Linked DNA regions of Caenorhabditis elegans. The protein of the gene in region 1 interacts with the protein of each later gene in a pairwise test. Each region holds a gene or a part of one and is shown in the gene's direction. Other genes may lie near its edges. The genes, in order: nova-1 and jac-1.

Region 1 (8,255 bases):
ATTTTCTGGCAATTTCCCTTGGTAAGAACATTTTCGCCAGAAAAATGACCGATAATTTGGAAGAAAAAATGAATTCGTTGAAAATGTAAGAATTTTACGGTTTAAATTGCCACATCTACTGATAAATTGAGTGGACTGAAATTATGAGAATTTGACGGATTTTCAGTGAATTTAACTAAGAAAAAATACACTTTCTCGAATTCAAACCTAAAACTTTTTTTTCAGCTCCAACACGGCCTCTCTTCATTTCAAAAAATAAATCAAATTGACGTGATGAACTTTCTCTGTGTCTCTCATGGGCGAGAGAGTGAGCTTTTTGAGCCGAATTTGTACTGAAAACGGTAAAATAGGCCGGAAACGGCTGATAGTGAACAAAATCTAATAAAAATTTACTAACTGCCTGATCAAACACATAGAAATTATATGAAAAAGGGCAAAATTGTAAATCACCTATGAATACGCCCACATGTGAAAGTTCAAAATTAGTGATTTTCCAGACAAAACTGATTAAAGCCGGCGATTCGCTGATAAATCTTTAAGTTTTTTATTAATATATTGTCAATTAAGACTAAGTGTATCTATTTTTATGCAAATATCTAGGTTAGTGATGTTCACGACGCCGGCAGACGGAAAAACAAAAGGCTACCTCAAAAAATGGATTTTTTCGGGACCTCTAGTGATCCTTGAAAAGAGAAATTTGAAAATTGAAGGCCACCATTTTGTAGATAATTTTTTTCTGATTATTTTCTGTTTTTGATGAAGGTTTTTTGATGAAAATTGACGTCGGCATCTTCAAAACAAGAATTAGGCCTGAAAACTCCAAAAATCGTTAAAAAACGACAATTTTTGGCGGGTTTTCCTAATTTTACGAGACGCACCAAGACATAATCAAAAATTCAACCTCACCAAAAGTTGCAAAATTCTCTAAGGAAGAGATTAAGATGTCAATCACCTGATTTGATCAAAAACTGATTGAGTAACTTCAGTTTTAAGACAATGCGATTGTAATTTTTGGACAACCGCAAGCATAATAGTTGATGTGAACGCTTTTGAAAACATATAACTCGGTAACCAGAAAAGCTATCAAGAAACTTTGAACTACAAAAATAATCTTGATAACACAAGAAACATTTTCTATGTTCATAATACTTGGCTATTCTCACAAAATACATAGTTTAAGCTATGTAAAGATTCAATGCTTTGAAAAACTTTGATAGAGATACCACGAAGGTATTCGAAATTATCCGTTTGCACAATCATCTCAAAGAAGCAAAAAATAACAAAGTCTGGATTAGTACCGTCTGATACCTTTTTCATATGTCACTTTTTGTTTTTCCCGTACGGGATCCCGTCTTTACAGTCGGCAACCGACTGAAACCGAGGCCACCAATGAATAACTCAGCTTGTGAACCCTGCCGGGAAAGTCTCATCAGTTTTCCATCAGTGTACGACAAAAAATATACCGTATTTCCTCTATTAGTCTTGCAGCTTCTATTAGTCTTGCACCCCTATTAGTATTGCACCCCTACGGACCAATCGAAAATCAGTCATGCGGACTCTATTAGTCTTGCACCCCTACGGGTCAATTGAAAATTAGTCTTGCATTCAAGACTAATAGAGGAAATACGGTAATTGGGTACGATAGGAATACGGTAGGTTTATAAGTTATGTAAGTTTCTACAAATGTAACTACTTCAGTTTCTCTGTACCAAACTTTGAAGAATTTTTTATTACTTTAAAGATCACTGAAATAGTGAGCCGTTGTCTACGAGATCAAATATGTCCGAAAATTACCATTTGGTATCGGTCCTAACAAATCAGTATTTATACCAAAGTTGTTTCTTCGTCAATATTTTGAATTTAATTTAAAAACACATATATTATTCAATTTTCAATCTCACGTGAGAGAGTGTGAGAGAAAAAGAGGAATTTTGAAATAAATGAAATTGAGAGAGGCCGTGCTCCAAGGCTCCATCGATGTCGAATTTGCCATTGGACGTCATTCATAAAATTGTGGAAAAGGTTGAACCAATCGAACGGTATAATCAGAACTAGTTTTTGGAGGATTAATTAAATTGAAAATTTCAGGCTTTCTGTCCGTAAAGTCTGCCGCAACTTTCGTGCAATCGTCGATAATAAGGATCCTGGAATCAAGCGCGTTGTACTTAACATCCATCACTCTCAATTCCAGATGTGGCTGCTTGACGCAAAATCTACTGTAATTCACTATGATTTCAGTCATTCGCATTGCACAGTAAACTACAATGATCGGAATGAGCGCTTTAAAGGAGTGAACGGCTTGAAAATGGCTGAGACAGACTTGTCAGTGGTGATGAAGAACTCGAAACTTCAATTGGAAGTCCTTGAATTCCAAGGATATGATCGTATTCAAAAGAAGGAAACATTTATGAATTGGTTCAAAGAAATGTCCGATTCAAAAAACCTCTACAAGGTAAAAAGAATCGACTTTTCCATTAATCTTCCAACTTTTGCCGCAACAATTTTTCCGCTTCTTCAACCAGGATTTCTAGAAGAAATTTGCATTTACTGCAGCGGGAATCCAGATTACGTCGATCAATTATTTGAAATGGAGCAATGGAAAAGAGCCAAGTCGATTTTTATTGATTCATATGGAGAGAAGCATTTCCCAATTGAAAATCTCTTCCATCTTACCCACTTCTTCATTGATACGGCGTATCTTTCTGTCGCTGATGCTGTTAAAATCAGAGATGTTAGTTTTTTAATGTTCCTTCAAAAAAATTGTCATTTTTTCCAGATTCTCTTGAAATCGACTGTTTTTGAGTCTGGAATCATCACTTCTAGAAATATCTTCAGCGTTGGAGTTGTGCGAGTTTTCAATCCAAATTTCATTGCTAGAAGACCTTTTCGCGTTGACTATGACAATGGCTCTCACTTCAGCCTCTTATACGATCATATTTCTATCAAAATCGAAAAGAAGAAATAAATTAAACTGTTGTTCACTCGTGTGGTTCTCATTAAAATAAACTGTTTTGTTGAAATCTGTTTTTTTTCTTGTTAAATTACAATTTTGAGACATTTTTGTATTAAATTGCAAACCTTGTTGAAAAGTGGAGATTTTCCCGAAAATTTGCTGGAAATTGTGAGAAAAACTATAAGTGAAAAATTGAAATTTATTAGATTTTTTAACTAATTTGCATGGAAATGCATGGATAACCGGTGCAAATTATACAAAACCTCAAGTATTCACGATTTTCTTTTTTTGAGAAAATGATTTTTTGTTTCAATATAGATGAAAAATTGAATTTCAACCCGGAATATTGAGAGTTTCGACGATTTTCTCTCAAGTTTCACGATTTCTAACCAATTTTTGACTCTAAAATTCAGGAAATTTCATTAAAAATCAATAATTTTGAAAACATTTTAAATTAACTTCAATTTAAAAACCGGACTACGGTACACAACTCCGCAAACACCGCACGGCGTGTTCTGTCTACCGTAGTACGGCGCAATAAAAAAAAATAAATTTTTTTCCAATTTTCGAACTTTTCACCCAATTTTCGGCGCTTTTTTGCTGATTTTCGACGAAAAACTGAAGGAATTAACAAGCGCAATGGAAGGTTCGTGCTTTTTCAACTTGAAAAAGGTAAAATTCGAAAAAAAAAATACCTCTTAGGATTCAATTTTTCCATTAATTCCGCAATTTTTCCATCCTAAATTGATATTTCTCACAGAATTGTTTGATTTGTCTTATTTTCCGGCAAAATAATGTTTGAATTCGATAAAAATCGGAAAAATTCGGCTGAAAATGGTGGAATTTACGCCAAAATCCAGATTTTTCGACTTTTCAGCAAGTTTTTGGGTAAAACTACGCCGTTTTGACGAAAATTGCAAGAAAATTGACTTAAAATTTGACTGTATAATTTATGAGTTAAAATTTAAATTCTACTGGTTTTCCGGTAAAATTGCAGTTTTTATTGTTACAAAAGTTCTAAAAAACTGAATTTTGCCTTAAAAAACCCGTTTTTCTGGAATTTTTTGCTGAAAAAATTGAAAAATTGCTTTAAATCTCGTTTTTAAATCAATTTTTCTGTCAAAATCTAACGAAATCTCTCAAATTTTCGATTGGTCTGCTAGCGTTTTTTGTAGTTTGTAGTCTAGCAGATTAAATTTCTGAGATTGGGTCTGCCAGACTACAAATTACAAAATGTATTTAGCAGACCCATCACTTTTTCGACTAAATTTTGCGTTTTCAGGTGAAATTAAGCAGATTTAAAGGAAAAAACTCAGTTTTTCACAGAAAACCGACAAAAAATATGAATTTTTCGTATTTTCAGAGTTTTTTCGGCGAAAATTGTGATTTTATGCATAATTCTCTGTGAAAATTGATTTTTTAAGTCAATTTTCGTGAATTTTCACATTAAAATGTCGAGAAAATGCACATTTTGAGATATTTCCCGCAAAAAAATCAGGAAAAAATGCTCAAAATTGGCGATTTTTACCAAGTTTTATGGTCTGCCAGACTACAAACTACACAAAATGTATTTAGCAGACCCAAAAAAAAACATTTTTCGCGAATTTTTTTGATTTTTTTCTTGCATTTTTGATCAATTAGCATTAAAATTCACTAATTTTCCTCCCCAATTCCAGAAAAACCGGTTTTTCTGGAATTTTTTGCTGAAAAAATTAAAAAATTACTTTAAATCTCGTTTTTAAATCAATTTTTCTGTCAAAATCTAACGAAATCTCTCAAATTTTCGATTGGTCTGCTAGCGTTTTTTGTAGTTTGTAGTCTAGCAGACCCGAGTGGGTCTGCTAGACTACAAACTACAAAACGTATTTGGCAGACCCATAGTTTTTTCGACTAAATGTTGCGTTTTCATGTGAAAATACGCAGATTTAGACGGAAAAAACTCGGTTTCCCATAGAAAAATATGAATTTTTCGTTTTCTTAGACGGTTTTTTGGCGAAAATTGTGATTTTACTCATATTTCTCTGTAAAAATCGATTTTTGAGTCAATTTTCGTGAATTTTCATATTCAAATTGCGAGAAAATTCAAAATTTGAATTTTTCCAGCGAAAAAATCAGGAAAACTGCCCAAAATCACAGCGAAATTGACGATTTTTACCTAGTTTTATGGTCTGCCAGACTACAAACTACACAAAATGTATTTAGCAGACCCAAAAAAAAAATTTTCGCGAATTTTTTTTATTTTTTCTTGTATTTTTGACCAATTAGCATTAAAATTCACTAATTTTCCTCCCCAATTCCAGAAAAGCCGGTTTTTCTGGAATTTTTTGAAAAAAATTTGAAAAATTGCTTTAAACCTCGTTTTTAAATCATTTTCCTCTCAAAATCTGACGAAAATCTCTCAATTTTTCGATTGGTATGCTAGCGTTTTTTGTAGTTTGTAGTCTAGCAGACCAAATTTCTGAGAGTAGGTCTGCTAGACTACAAACTACAAAATGTATTTAGCAGACCCATATTTTTTTCGACGAAATTTTGCGTTTTAGGTGAATATAAGCAGATTTAGACGGAAAAAACTCGGTTTCCCATAGAAAAATATGCATTTTTTTTAAACGGTTTTTTGGCGAAAAATTGTGATTTTATGCGTAATTCTGTGTGAAAATTGATTTTTTAAGGCAATAATCGTTAATTTTTCCTGAAAAATTCCGCGAAAATGCAAGATTTGAATTTTTTTCCCGCGAAAAAATCAGAAATCTGCTCAAAATAACAGCAAAATTGACGATTTTTACCAAGTTTTATGGTCTGCCAGACTACAAACTACAAAAATTGTATTTAGCAGACCCAAAATCCATTTTTTTTTCGCGAATTTTTGGATTTTTTCATGCATTTTTTATTAATCAGCATTAAAATTCGCTAATTTTCTCCCACATTTAGGAAAAAATCGATTTTTTTTTGCCAAATTGCCCCGCTCTCGCCGTTCTTTTTGGCCATCTGCTCTCCGAATAACACTTGGCATGCTGCCAAGTGTCCCACCAACAAATCCCATCGATTTTCGATGTTGGCGAGGGACAAAAAGTGACGACGATTAGAGAGCATTGAGAGCTGAGAGAGACGAGAGAAAACATGGAACCTCTCGTTGTCTGCCGTCTCTTCATCTCATCATTGTGTCCGTCAACTGACTCATTTCTTCGTATTTACGCGCTCTTTTTTCGAAGGAGGACGCGTTCCGTTTTTTTTTTTGGTTTCGTACAAATTTTTGGTTTTTTACGCGATTTTCTCGAAATTGCGTGTGAAAATTTGCAAAAAATTCGATTTTTCGTTTCAAAATCGAGCTTTCCTTCTAAATTATCAAATATAATCGTAAAATCGGTTTTTCTCTACGATTTTTCTTCAAAAGCTGAATTTTTTGCTGAAAAGTGGGTTGAAAATCACGAAAATTGCAAATTTTAACGCTGATCAATAAAAAATGCAAGAAAAATGGATTCTGGGTCTGCTAAATACATTTTGTGTAGTATGTAGTCTGGCAGACCATAAAACTTGGTAAAAATCGCCAGTTTTGCTGTAATTTTGAGCAGTTTTCCTGATGATTTTTTCGCGGGAATAATGCAAACATTTGCATTTTCTCGGAATTTTTAAGGAAAAATGCACGAAAATTGACTCACAAAATCAATTTTCACAGAGAATTTTGCATAAAATCACAATTTTCGCCAAAATACCATCTGAAAATCCGAAAGTTTACACATGTTTAGTTTTTTACACGATTTTCTCGGAGTTTTGTGCGAAAATTTGCAAAAAATACGAATTTTTCGTTCAAAAATCGAGCTTTCCTTCTAAATTATCAAATATAATCGTAAAATCGGTTTTTCTCTACGGTTTTCCTTTAAAAACTGCAAGTTTTGCTGAAAAATCCGTTGAAAACTGCGAAATTTAACTCTAGAGCGTGTAGTTTGTAGTCTAGCAGACCCAAATCGAGCGCATGGGTCTGCCAGACTACAAACTACATTTTCAATCGATTTTTCCGGATTTTTAGGTTTTAAATGTGATTTTCTCGGTGTTTCTTGTTGAAATTCGTGAATTTTCGGGAAAATTTCCTGAAAAGTCAGAATTTTTGCCGGGAAAAGCGAGTGTGCACTCTAAAAATTCAATTAAAACTCAGATTCCCCAATTTTCGCAAAAAAGGAGTTTTTTCTTTAGAGAAACTGCAAATTCCCCTCAAAATCCCTTCAAAAGTACGAAAATTAGCTCTACAGCGTGTAGTTTGTAGTCTAGCAGACCCAAATCGAGCGCATGGGTCTGCCAGACTACAAACTACACATAAAACTAGTTAAATAAAAACGTCAATTTTGCTGTAATTTTGAGCAGTTTTCCTGAAAAATCTCAAAATTTGCATTTCCTCACAATTTGAAAGTGAAAATTCTCGAAAAATTACTCAAAAAATCGATTTTCACACGGAAATTATTGGAGTTAGCCACAAAACTATGCATAAAACCACAATTTTTCTGTGGAAAACGGGGTTTTTCCCTGAAAATCTGCTCATTTTCACCTAAAAACGCAAAATTCAGTCGGAAAAAATGATGGTCTGCTAAATACATTTTGTAGTTTGTAGCCTAGCAGACCAATTTGGTCTGCCACACTACAAACTACATATTTTGCAAAAATTTGCGGTTTTTTCAGTGATTTTCTACCGTTTTTCCTCAATTAAAAAAAAATTCCTTTGAAGTAATATAAATTTCTCAAAAAAATCAATTTTTAGTTGTAGTTTGTAGTCTAGCAGACCCAAATGGTCTGCCACACTACAAACTACATATTTTGCAGTTTTTCGGGGATTTTGCATACGAAAACCAAGAATGTTCAACTTATCCACATTTTTCTCGAATGTTTTCAATAAAAAATAGGACAATTTTTGCTCTGAAATTCAATTTTTAGTTGTAGTTTGTAGTCTGGCAGACCAATTTGAATGTTTTTGCTCGTTTTTTCTGGATTTTTCCCAATTTTTTCCCTTTTTTTTTTTGCAGAAATAATGGCTGAGGAGTTCACCGAAGACTCAAAAACGCAACAAGGCGTAAAACGGACTCAAGACGCTTCAGATGGTCCAGCTAACAAGAAAGCTCATTTTGGAGGCGAAGAAGAGGGTGGAGATCATCTTTCAATTAAGATTTTGATTCCATCAAATGCTGTTGGAGCAATTATTGGAAAAGGAGGAGAAGCGATGAGAAATCTCAAAAATGACAATAATTGTCGTGTTCAAATGAGCAAGAACAGCGAAACGTATCCGGGTAAGGAGGAAATTGAGCCGCGGAAATCGAGA
Region 2 (8,255 bases), on another chromosome or scaffold:
TACCTTCCTGTTCATCCTTCTCATTTTCACCACTAAATTATTTTACGAGCTACTTACTTCTACGTCGTCTCGGGGAATGAAGTGTCGCCTGAGGCAGCGACACCGACGGCCCGGCGGCCGCCACTTTTATTGAATTTATGCCTGCTTTTCGGCATTCGAGAGGGCTTTCAGGGGGTCGAAAGAGGGAGGCGCTTGGTCAGTGCCTCCCGTGCTTAAGTTTTTAAAGAGGAGCTGGAGGAGGAGGAAGAGATATTGAAAAATAAATGTTCCGACACTTTTTTTTTGGAATATTTTTTTTGCTGTTTCATGATTTTTTGAAACAAAAATTTATATTGTCCCTAACACTTTGTACTTATTGAAAGTTGCTTTATCATTTTTGTGAAACAGTAGAAAAATTGAAATTGAATTAAAATAAAATTTCCCGTTTTTACAATTTTTAGTATAAAAACCACTTAAAATTTTTTAAAAAATAAATTCCGTTTTAGGTTTGGCAATGTTGCTGGAAACATCTTTTGATCCAGTTTAGCGTTTTCAAAAAAATCCAAATCTGATACTGTTTCAAGTAGCCGATTAAAGTTTTCTGTGCTGAAAAATTTTAGTTTTGATGTTTTTCAAGTTTTTAGTCAATGACAAGAATAAAATTCTGAAAAATTCAATTCATTTTTTATGATTCAAAAGGTTTAACTAACAAGGAAAGGAAGTCAATCTAGTCCCGGACTTCGAATCGAGACGTATGTCATTTGAAAGCTTATGGTTAGCCTAGATCACCACAAAAATTTTAGCGGCGGAACTCAACTCTGAACCCCTGAAAGCGCCATCTGAAAATTTTTCTCTGCGCCCTCCTAGTTTTCAATACTATTTCGTATTTATTCATTTTACATATACAAAAATCATCTTCAATATTTATAAAATGGTTTAAAACATTGAAAACAATAAAAATCAGGGATTGATGTCCGAATGGTAAATGCTTGGTAAAACGGAATAAAGGTCTCGTGTTCGATTCTTTCAGTGGCAATTTTTTTTTAATTTTTAAAAATTGCAAAAAATTTTTTTTTGGTATTTAAAACTTTCGAACTCAAAATTTCCAGTCCCATATATTTGACCGAAAGTAGGAGCAAGGCTTGTGTTTGGGTAATGTAATATGTTGCACCGATGCTTTTTGAAGGTTTGAATATGGCTTCGGACCTTTTTGTGAAAGAAAAACGTTTTCAAAGGTACATCCATTACATATTTCAAGCAATTTTTAAGCTTAAAAACCACCTCATATTCGGTGCAAAAGGCTCAATTGGAAGAAATTTGTACCTTTTTATATGCCCCGATACAAAAAAATAGTTTTGAAAATTTTTCAAAAAAAAATTTTTTTGACCAAAAATTCACTGTTTCAATGAATTGACATAAAATAAGTTGGAAGTCTCACATTATTAATTTCAGGATTTGAATGCTTTTCATTGTAACTTCAGAGAACAACTCTGATTTCGAGTCATTATTGGTTAATTTGGCAGAAAGCTCATTGAAATATATAGGACGGTATAATTCATTTTGAAAAAGTTTCAAAAAATTCCACTGTTTCAAATGATTGATAAAAATGTACAATTTTTAAAAAGTTTATTATTTATATGATTTTTGCCATTTTTTCTCCGCTTCACAAATTACTTGAATTGTTTTTTAATTTCACAGCTCTCTGAAAAAGTTAAAAATTTCATTTTTCTCACATTTCCCACCGAATGCAACACCACCTGCACCGCAGGTGCACGCCTCGAACAACAACAAAAAACGGAACATTTTTTCTCTCATTTTTTCGTCTATCTCTCTATTTCTCTGTGTAATGTGGGAAAATGTTTGATTTCAATTGAAATTGTCATCCGAATCTATATTCGAAATTTTAAAAAATATGAGTGATTACCATCGAAATGGCGGAAATTATAGGGTAGGTGAATCCCAGATTAGTGCATGCGTCAGTAGATTTCCAAAGTAGGAATGGGGAGTTTTTTGGCTTTTTTGGACGATTTTCATGAAAATTTGTGGAAAAATTGTTTCCAAAGCAAAACAAAGTTGCTCAGCATTTTTCAAAAGTTTTATAGACGAATTGAACCTAAAGCGACAAAACAAATCACTCCGCTTGTCGTAAATTTTTATACTAACTTTTTGAAACAGTAATTTTTTGTAGTTTTAAAAATTTCGTTTTTTTACACTTTATACGCAGTTTTATTGGAATGATATTTTGCTGTAAGCAGGCACACTTTCAGGCATGCGTGCCTGTCAAACGGCCTACGCGCTGGCCTAAATAGTTGCGCGTGAAAACAGATATTTGTTATGTTTTTTACAGAATCTAACCACATATTACAACTGAAGCCTATTTTCAGATTTGTTTTGTGGCAAACTTATCTAAAACTCAATATTTAAAAAGTTGTATTCCCGCCATTATGCAGACATTGAAACAGTGGACTTTTTTTTTGAGAAAATCGTGAAAAACAGTGGAATGGTTCAATTGATACTTTTATTTAGAAAAAAATACTCTTCAAAATATGTTTTAAGTATTCTCTTTGAATTTGTGATAAACATGGACGGAACTATTTTTAAAAATTTTCAGAAGTTAAAGACATTGTGAAACAGTTCAAACTAAATTCTTATTTCGCAATTTTTACTAAAAATTCAGTTTTTTTTAGAAATACAAGGGCTCACCACGAATCCTCTCTGATGTTTCCAAAAAAATTTTGCTGACTTGAACCCATTCCGAATGTTTAACAATATTTGTTCTAGAAATTATGAGCATATTGAAATAGTCAAATTTGTTTGTTTTTAAACAGTTTCAATATAGAAAAATCATCAGATTACATTGTCATTTGTGTTAACCAACTTATGAACATACTGAAACAGTCAAAATTTGTTTTTTTTTTCAAAGATTGTTTCAATTTCTCTACTGTTTCTCAATTTCTCAATTTCTCTACAAGCCTTATATATCTGATTCCGATTGTTGAAACTCGTTAGTTTTCTTTTTTTTTAATAACTGTAGTAAATCTTTGAAAATGACATGAAACAGTGCTACAAATTTTTTCTAACTAATTCCGATTGAACCAGAAAAGTCAAATTTTATGGTTTTAACTGTTTCTAAGTAGTTTCTGCTAGTTTTTAACTGCAGCTAAAGAGACTTTAGGAAATTTCTTCTAACACCTGTTTTGCCGTACCCCTACAGTACTACCTACAGTAATACTATCAGTACTGGTGATTGAGAGACGCAGCTGCGATATCTTGTTCCGTTCGAAGGCCAACAATTCTCATCATTACAAGTTTTGAAAACATGATGAATATGAAAAAGTGAAATTTTTCTGAAAAAAAAACGCAGCCGACATCGATCGAGGTTCTGTTGTTGTCTGCGTCTCTTAGCTGGGAGAAGTCCTAAAACGCTATTTACAATATTTTAGGGATTACTGTAGGGTTATGTAACAACCGAAGAAAAGAAACCTAATCGGCAGGAGCTGATGAGTTTGATTTAAAATTTGCATAGCCATTTCGACAGCAAACATTTTAAAAACAAAACCTCGCTTAAAATGAACATTTTGAGATAAAACTTCACATTAACTTTGTCTTTAACTTTGAAAACATTTTGAAACAGAAACAATTTTAATCCTAAATTTTTTTCAAATTTCCCACCAAAAAGTGCCTTCTCTTACACTTTTCCCACTGGGATCCTCAGCGGCTCCCTCCAAATCGCGGCTCATCAATCTTGCTCAAAAAAAATTTATTTGCACCCACCAATTGTCTACCACCTCCGATGGGAGACGGGTGCTTTGATTAATAATTATGATATTTTTGGTTTGGCTTTTTTTGGTTTTACTGTTCTTTTCGAAAATAGAAGTTTTGGAGCATTTTTATATTTTCCATGAATCTCGCTATTAAAAAAAAGACAATTTTGGAAAAAAAATTTGCCGTTTCAAAAGTAACATATAAACAAATAAATTTTTTAACTTGCAGTATGGTGTTTACTTGAGTAATTAGATTTGTTTCCATCCTAAACTTTCTTCCACGTGGCATATTACGTTGAATTCTTACAGAATAATTAAAATTATTATTAAAAATTTGAAAAAAATGACTTTTGGATGAAAATGTTTGACTTTTCCCAAAATTTCATCTGCATTTTTGTAATATTACTCGGTTTACTAACAGTTCTTCATAATTTACGGTTTTTTTTTCAAAAAATGATATTTTTTAAAAAAAGCTTTTTTTTGAAATTTTTCTACGAAAATTCCGAAATTGTGCAGAAAATCGTCAAATTCGTTTTCAAAATTTTTCAATTAATTTAGGAATTTTTGATTGTTAGAAAGTTTCTCAATGAAAGTTTTAAAGAATTACCAATTTTTGAATGTGAGCTGTACTCAATGTAGAAGCAAATTTTACGATAATAAATGGATAACTTGAAACATTATTTTTCAAAAAAATTTCTACAACTGCTGAAAAGTTAATTTCTTAAGAGGAAAATGTATTATCTTCGTCGCATAACGTTTTTTGTTGCTAGAAATCCGGAATACGCGTTGATTTCTGGAAAAAATTGTGGAGTTTTTTGCATTTTCGAAAAAACAAATTTCACCGTTTCAGAAATGTCTTAAATCGTTTTGTTTTCAATTGAAAAACGCTTCGATTTTGAGAAAACTGGCCGTTTCAAGAATTATTCAAAAATCGGTCTGTTTTGTTCTCTACTCTACTGACAAGTACTGTTTCAGAATGTTCACAAAAAAAGCTAATTTTATAATAAAACTAATTGTACTACGATGCAGTAAATATATATTTTTCGTATGAAAATTCTCACTTCACTCAAAAATTGATTAAAATTGTCATAATTAATTTTGAGATTTCTATTAAAACTGCTAATTCAAGGTTTTAACAGAATTCTCCATAGAATACTAAAATTTACAATTATTCCTGAATGCATATCAAAATGTTATTTTTTCTATTCGGAACTAGATCACGTAATTGTTCGTGAAATTTTTGCAAAATAAATCGAAAATGTGAATAGGTGAAATTTTGTTTTAAAAAAAAATTTTGAAAAAAATTCACTTTTTCACATAGTACTCATAAGCACTGTTATAAAACCATATCTGATGTCTCATTGTTAACATTTTCTCTCAACTCTCCGTCCACTTTTTAAATAATCAATAATTCCTCCTCAAAATCCCAACATTTTACAGATGATCTCCTCGGGGTGGATGCAAGAAATGGAGCCCATACCAGAGGAGGGAACCGAGGCGGATGGCTCCGAGTGGGGAGCTATGTCGGATACCGCTAAAAGGACGATGCGAAAGAAGGAGGTGTACACTTCGGAACAGATTAATACGCTAGTTAGGTTAGTTTTTTTTTTTGGAATTTTTATTTTTGGGAGGGGTTTGAAAGAGATCTCAAAGTTTGAATTAATTTTGAAATTGAAAAAAAAAGTTTTGCAGTTTCTGGTTCTTGAGAAGTAGTACAAGGAAATAGAAAAGCACTTATTTTTGAAATCGAACTTCAAAACCAGAAATGAAAAATTGATCAAAAACTAACTTAAAAATTGGGCATAGAACATATTTATTTGAAGAAAATTAAATTTTCAGCCAACAAAATGTTCTAAAGTTTCAAGTTCCTTAGATATCACTGAAAATATCTAAGCTCTTTTTGACATCAAAGAAAAACAGATAAGTTTTTATTATATATGATCTCGATTTTTTTCTCTGAATAATCTCACACATTCAAATTGATACTCTTAAAATTAAAAAAAAACAAAAGAAATAACTGATTGCGTATTAAAAAAATAGTTAAAATTCCGAAACTAGAAATTAAGTTTAAAAATTAAAAAAAAAACTGTTTCTAGTTCTTAAGATATAACTGCTCCAAAATAGAAGGGCAGTCTCATAGGGTCTCGTTGACAAGCTGAAACGAAAGTAGTGTATTTTTTCAAAAACGAACTAATTCTGCATAACAACAGCAAATCTCGGCTTTTAGCTAAAAAATCTAACACTTATTTTTACTTTTTCTAGTTTCCCAAATAAAACCTTTAATTTTCCATTAAATATTGATTTAAGTGCCTGTCCTTTCTAGTAGTACTGCATAGCTTACGATCTTCTCTTTAAAATATTTATGAAAATCCAAAATATTCAAAGCAATAATACAGAAAGTGTTTTGTTCTACAATTTGGTATCAACTTTTTTCTACTGTTTTTACACCTTAAGATAAAACTGCTCTGAATTGAGTGACATTCTCGCTCTTGAACAAAACGCAGAGAAATCAACCACTTTTTGACCGTTGTTCCACCACTTTTTGTAAAACAAATTACTGGTTAAAAGTTGCCTATTTCAAAATTTTCTTTCTGAAAAGTAGTAAAATATTTCGTTAAAAAATAGAAAATCGGAGTTTGTCAAGGAAAAAATTTTGGAAACTTTTTTCCGACTGTTTCTATTGCTTAACATATTAGTTCTCGAAAATAAAAAGGCAGTCGGAAACCAGATATATTTTGAAAGTTGATAATTTCTCTAAAAGCAACCTAATTCTGCATAAAGTCGGTATTCTAAAATTCTCGACTGCGAAAAATAAATTTCTACTGTTTCAAATTGTTTAGATAAAACTACTTAAATTGATTAAAGATAGTGCCATTAATTCATCCGATATTCCCATCTCACCTCTCTTTAATTCCCTCCAAAAAAGCCGTTTCAAAACCCTAACCGCCGCCAAATACAAACAGTCCGTCCTATTTTTTCCGTTTTTGCATCGGATTAGTGTTGTGTCTTCCGTCTCTCCAAATCCCACACTATCTCTCAGCCAGGTCTACAAAATGTTTATTATTGTCATTAATATTCGTTTCGGCTATGTTTTATTGGTATATCATTGGATTGGAACGACGACGCTAGTGGTCATTTATTGCAACTTTTGAGTTGCGGCAAAACTTTAGAAATTGAAAAAAATAGTTTCGGTTTCAAGGGTTTATACTTTTTTCCGAACATTTTTGGTTATCAGATCCAAAAATAGTTAAATCTAATTTTTGTTTGACAATGTATATGCAACTGAAACTGCAAAACCAAGTTAAAAATTTTTTAATGTAACCAGCCTACCATAAATAAGAATAAATTGAACATTTGAATGTTTTAATAGCAGTTTTTATTTAAGTGTATTCCAAGTTAATTTTCTTCAAAATTTGCAAAAAAAATGTTTGCTTAATGAAAGTTTTATCGAGGCCACTTTATTTTGGCAAAAAAAACTATTTCAATATGTTTTTTAACGACTTGCAAGTTAAACTCATATTATTGTTACTTAACCTTTGAAATAAATTTGACCCATATAAGTTTCATAATATACATGGAATCCTTGCCTGAAAATTTTTTAATATTTCAAAATAATTAAACGGTGAAAATTCATAAATTTGCTTTTAAAACTTCAAGAAATTTCAATTTTTAAATTAAAATTACTGTTTCAAAACTTTGAGAAAATGTTTCTGATTAGCTGTTATTTTATTGCACAATTGATAAGGATAAAATGAAACAGTAAAACAGCAATTTTTAAAAACTTGACAATTGGTTCCCGATGACGTCACTGGAAATGCAAGGATGTGCAAGGTGTGAGTAATCGAAAATACCCTTCCCTTCCCTGTCTCAAACGGTCCATTTCTCCACGGCAAACAAGAGACCATCTAAAACAATATGTCATTTCCCTCTCTCCACTCTGCGTCTCACACTCTCTTCCCGCACGTTGGCACTCTGCCAAAGTGTGTAGAGAGAGTGGAGAAATAGAGAGTGAGACAGAAGGTTAAAAAGGTGTGAGTGAGAGAATGTCCTCGATGAAGAGAGGGGACGAACAAATGAATAAATTGCGTTCGCCGTTCTCATTTCCGATGACTTTTTGTTCTTTTACTGTGGAGAGATTTTCTGAAGAATGGGAGACACTTTTTTTCCACTGCTTTAGATGTTTCTTTGAGCATGTAGTTTTGTAAACGACGTTCTCTACATAAAATTGATTTTAAATACAGTTTTTTTTGCTAAAATTCAACAGAAAGATGAATTCTAAAAAAAAAAGAAAAAATTGTGTAAAATCCTGTTTTTTTCAGTTTTAACTATGAATATTCGAAAAAAAAACTGTTTCAAGATGTTGTTGAATTTTCTTCAAGTTTTTTAGTTAACTGTTATTTTGTCTAAAATTTCTCTAAATACTATTTTTAGATATTTCACATAACAATTTTTCTTCTTAACATTGTTTCAAATAGATCATATATTTTCGAAAATGTTTCAAATATTAGTGGG

The links.
Region 2: the proteins of nova-1 (region 1) and jac-1 interact in a two-hybrid assay, tested with the Caenorhabditis elegans proteins (one study listed by BioGRID).

What each region holds. Positions count from the first base shown.
Region 1 is NC_003283.11:18,077,168-18,085,422, reverse strand, and holds the start of nova-1 (K Homology domain-containing protein), read left to right. Parts: upstream 1-3,516; 5' UTR 3,517-3,592; coding exon 3,593-3,599; intron 3,600-5,382; exon of another isoform or gene 5,383-5,467; intron 5,468-7,166; exon of another isoform or gene 7,167-7,254; intron 7,255-7,962; coding exon 7,963-8,223; intron 8,224-8,255. Other genes in the region: fbxa-106 (F-box domain-containing protein), read left to right, coding at 296-341, 1,952-2,039, 2,089-2,731, 2,777-2,965.
Region 2 is NC_003282.8:16,023,776-16,032,030, reverse strand, and holds the start of jac-1 (Fibronectin type-III domain-containing protein), read left to right. Parts: upstream 1-5,183; coding exon 5,184-5,338; intron 5,339-5,477; exon of another isoform or gene 5,478-5,502; intron 5,503-5,598; exon of another isoform or gene 5,599-5,619; intron 5,620-5,642; exon of another isoform or gene 5,643-5,663; intron 5,664-5,875; exon of another isoform or gene 5,876-5,896; intron 5,897-6,041; exon of another isoform or gene 6,042-6,062; intron 6,063-6,224; exon of another isoform or gene 6,225-6,251; intron 6,252-6,402; exon of another isoform or gene 6,403-6,423; intron 6,424-6,460; exon of another isoform or gene 6,461-6,481; intron 6,482-6,609; exon of another isoform or gene 6,610-6,633; intron 6,634-6,979; exon of another isoform or gene 6,980-7,000; intron 7,001-7,263; exon of another isoform or gene 7,264-7,287; intron 7,288-7,436; exon of another isoform or gene 7,437-7,457; intron 7,458-7,468; exon of another isoform or gene 7,469-7,494; intron 7,495-8,135; exon of another isoform or gene 8,136-8,159; intron 8,160-8,251; exon of another isoform or gene 8,252-8,255. UniProt on the Caenorhabditis elegans protein: May act as a positive modulator of hmr-1 function during epidermal morphogenesis. Required for proper localization of other junctional components, such as pac-1.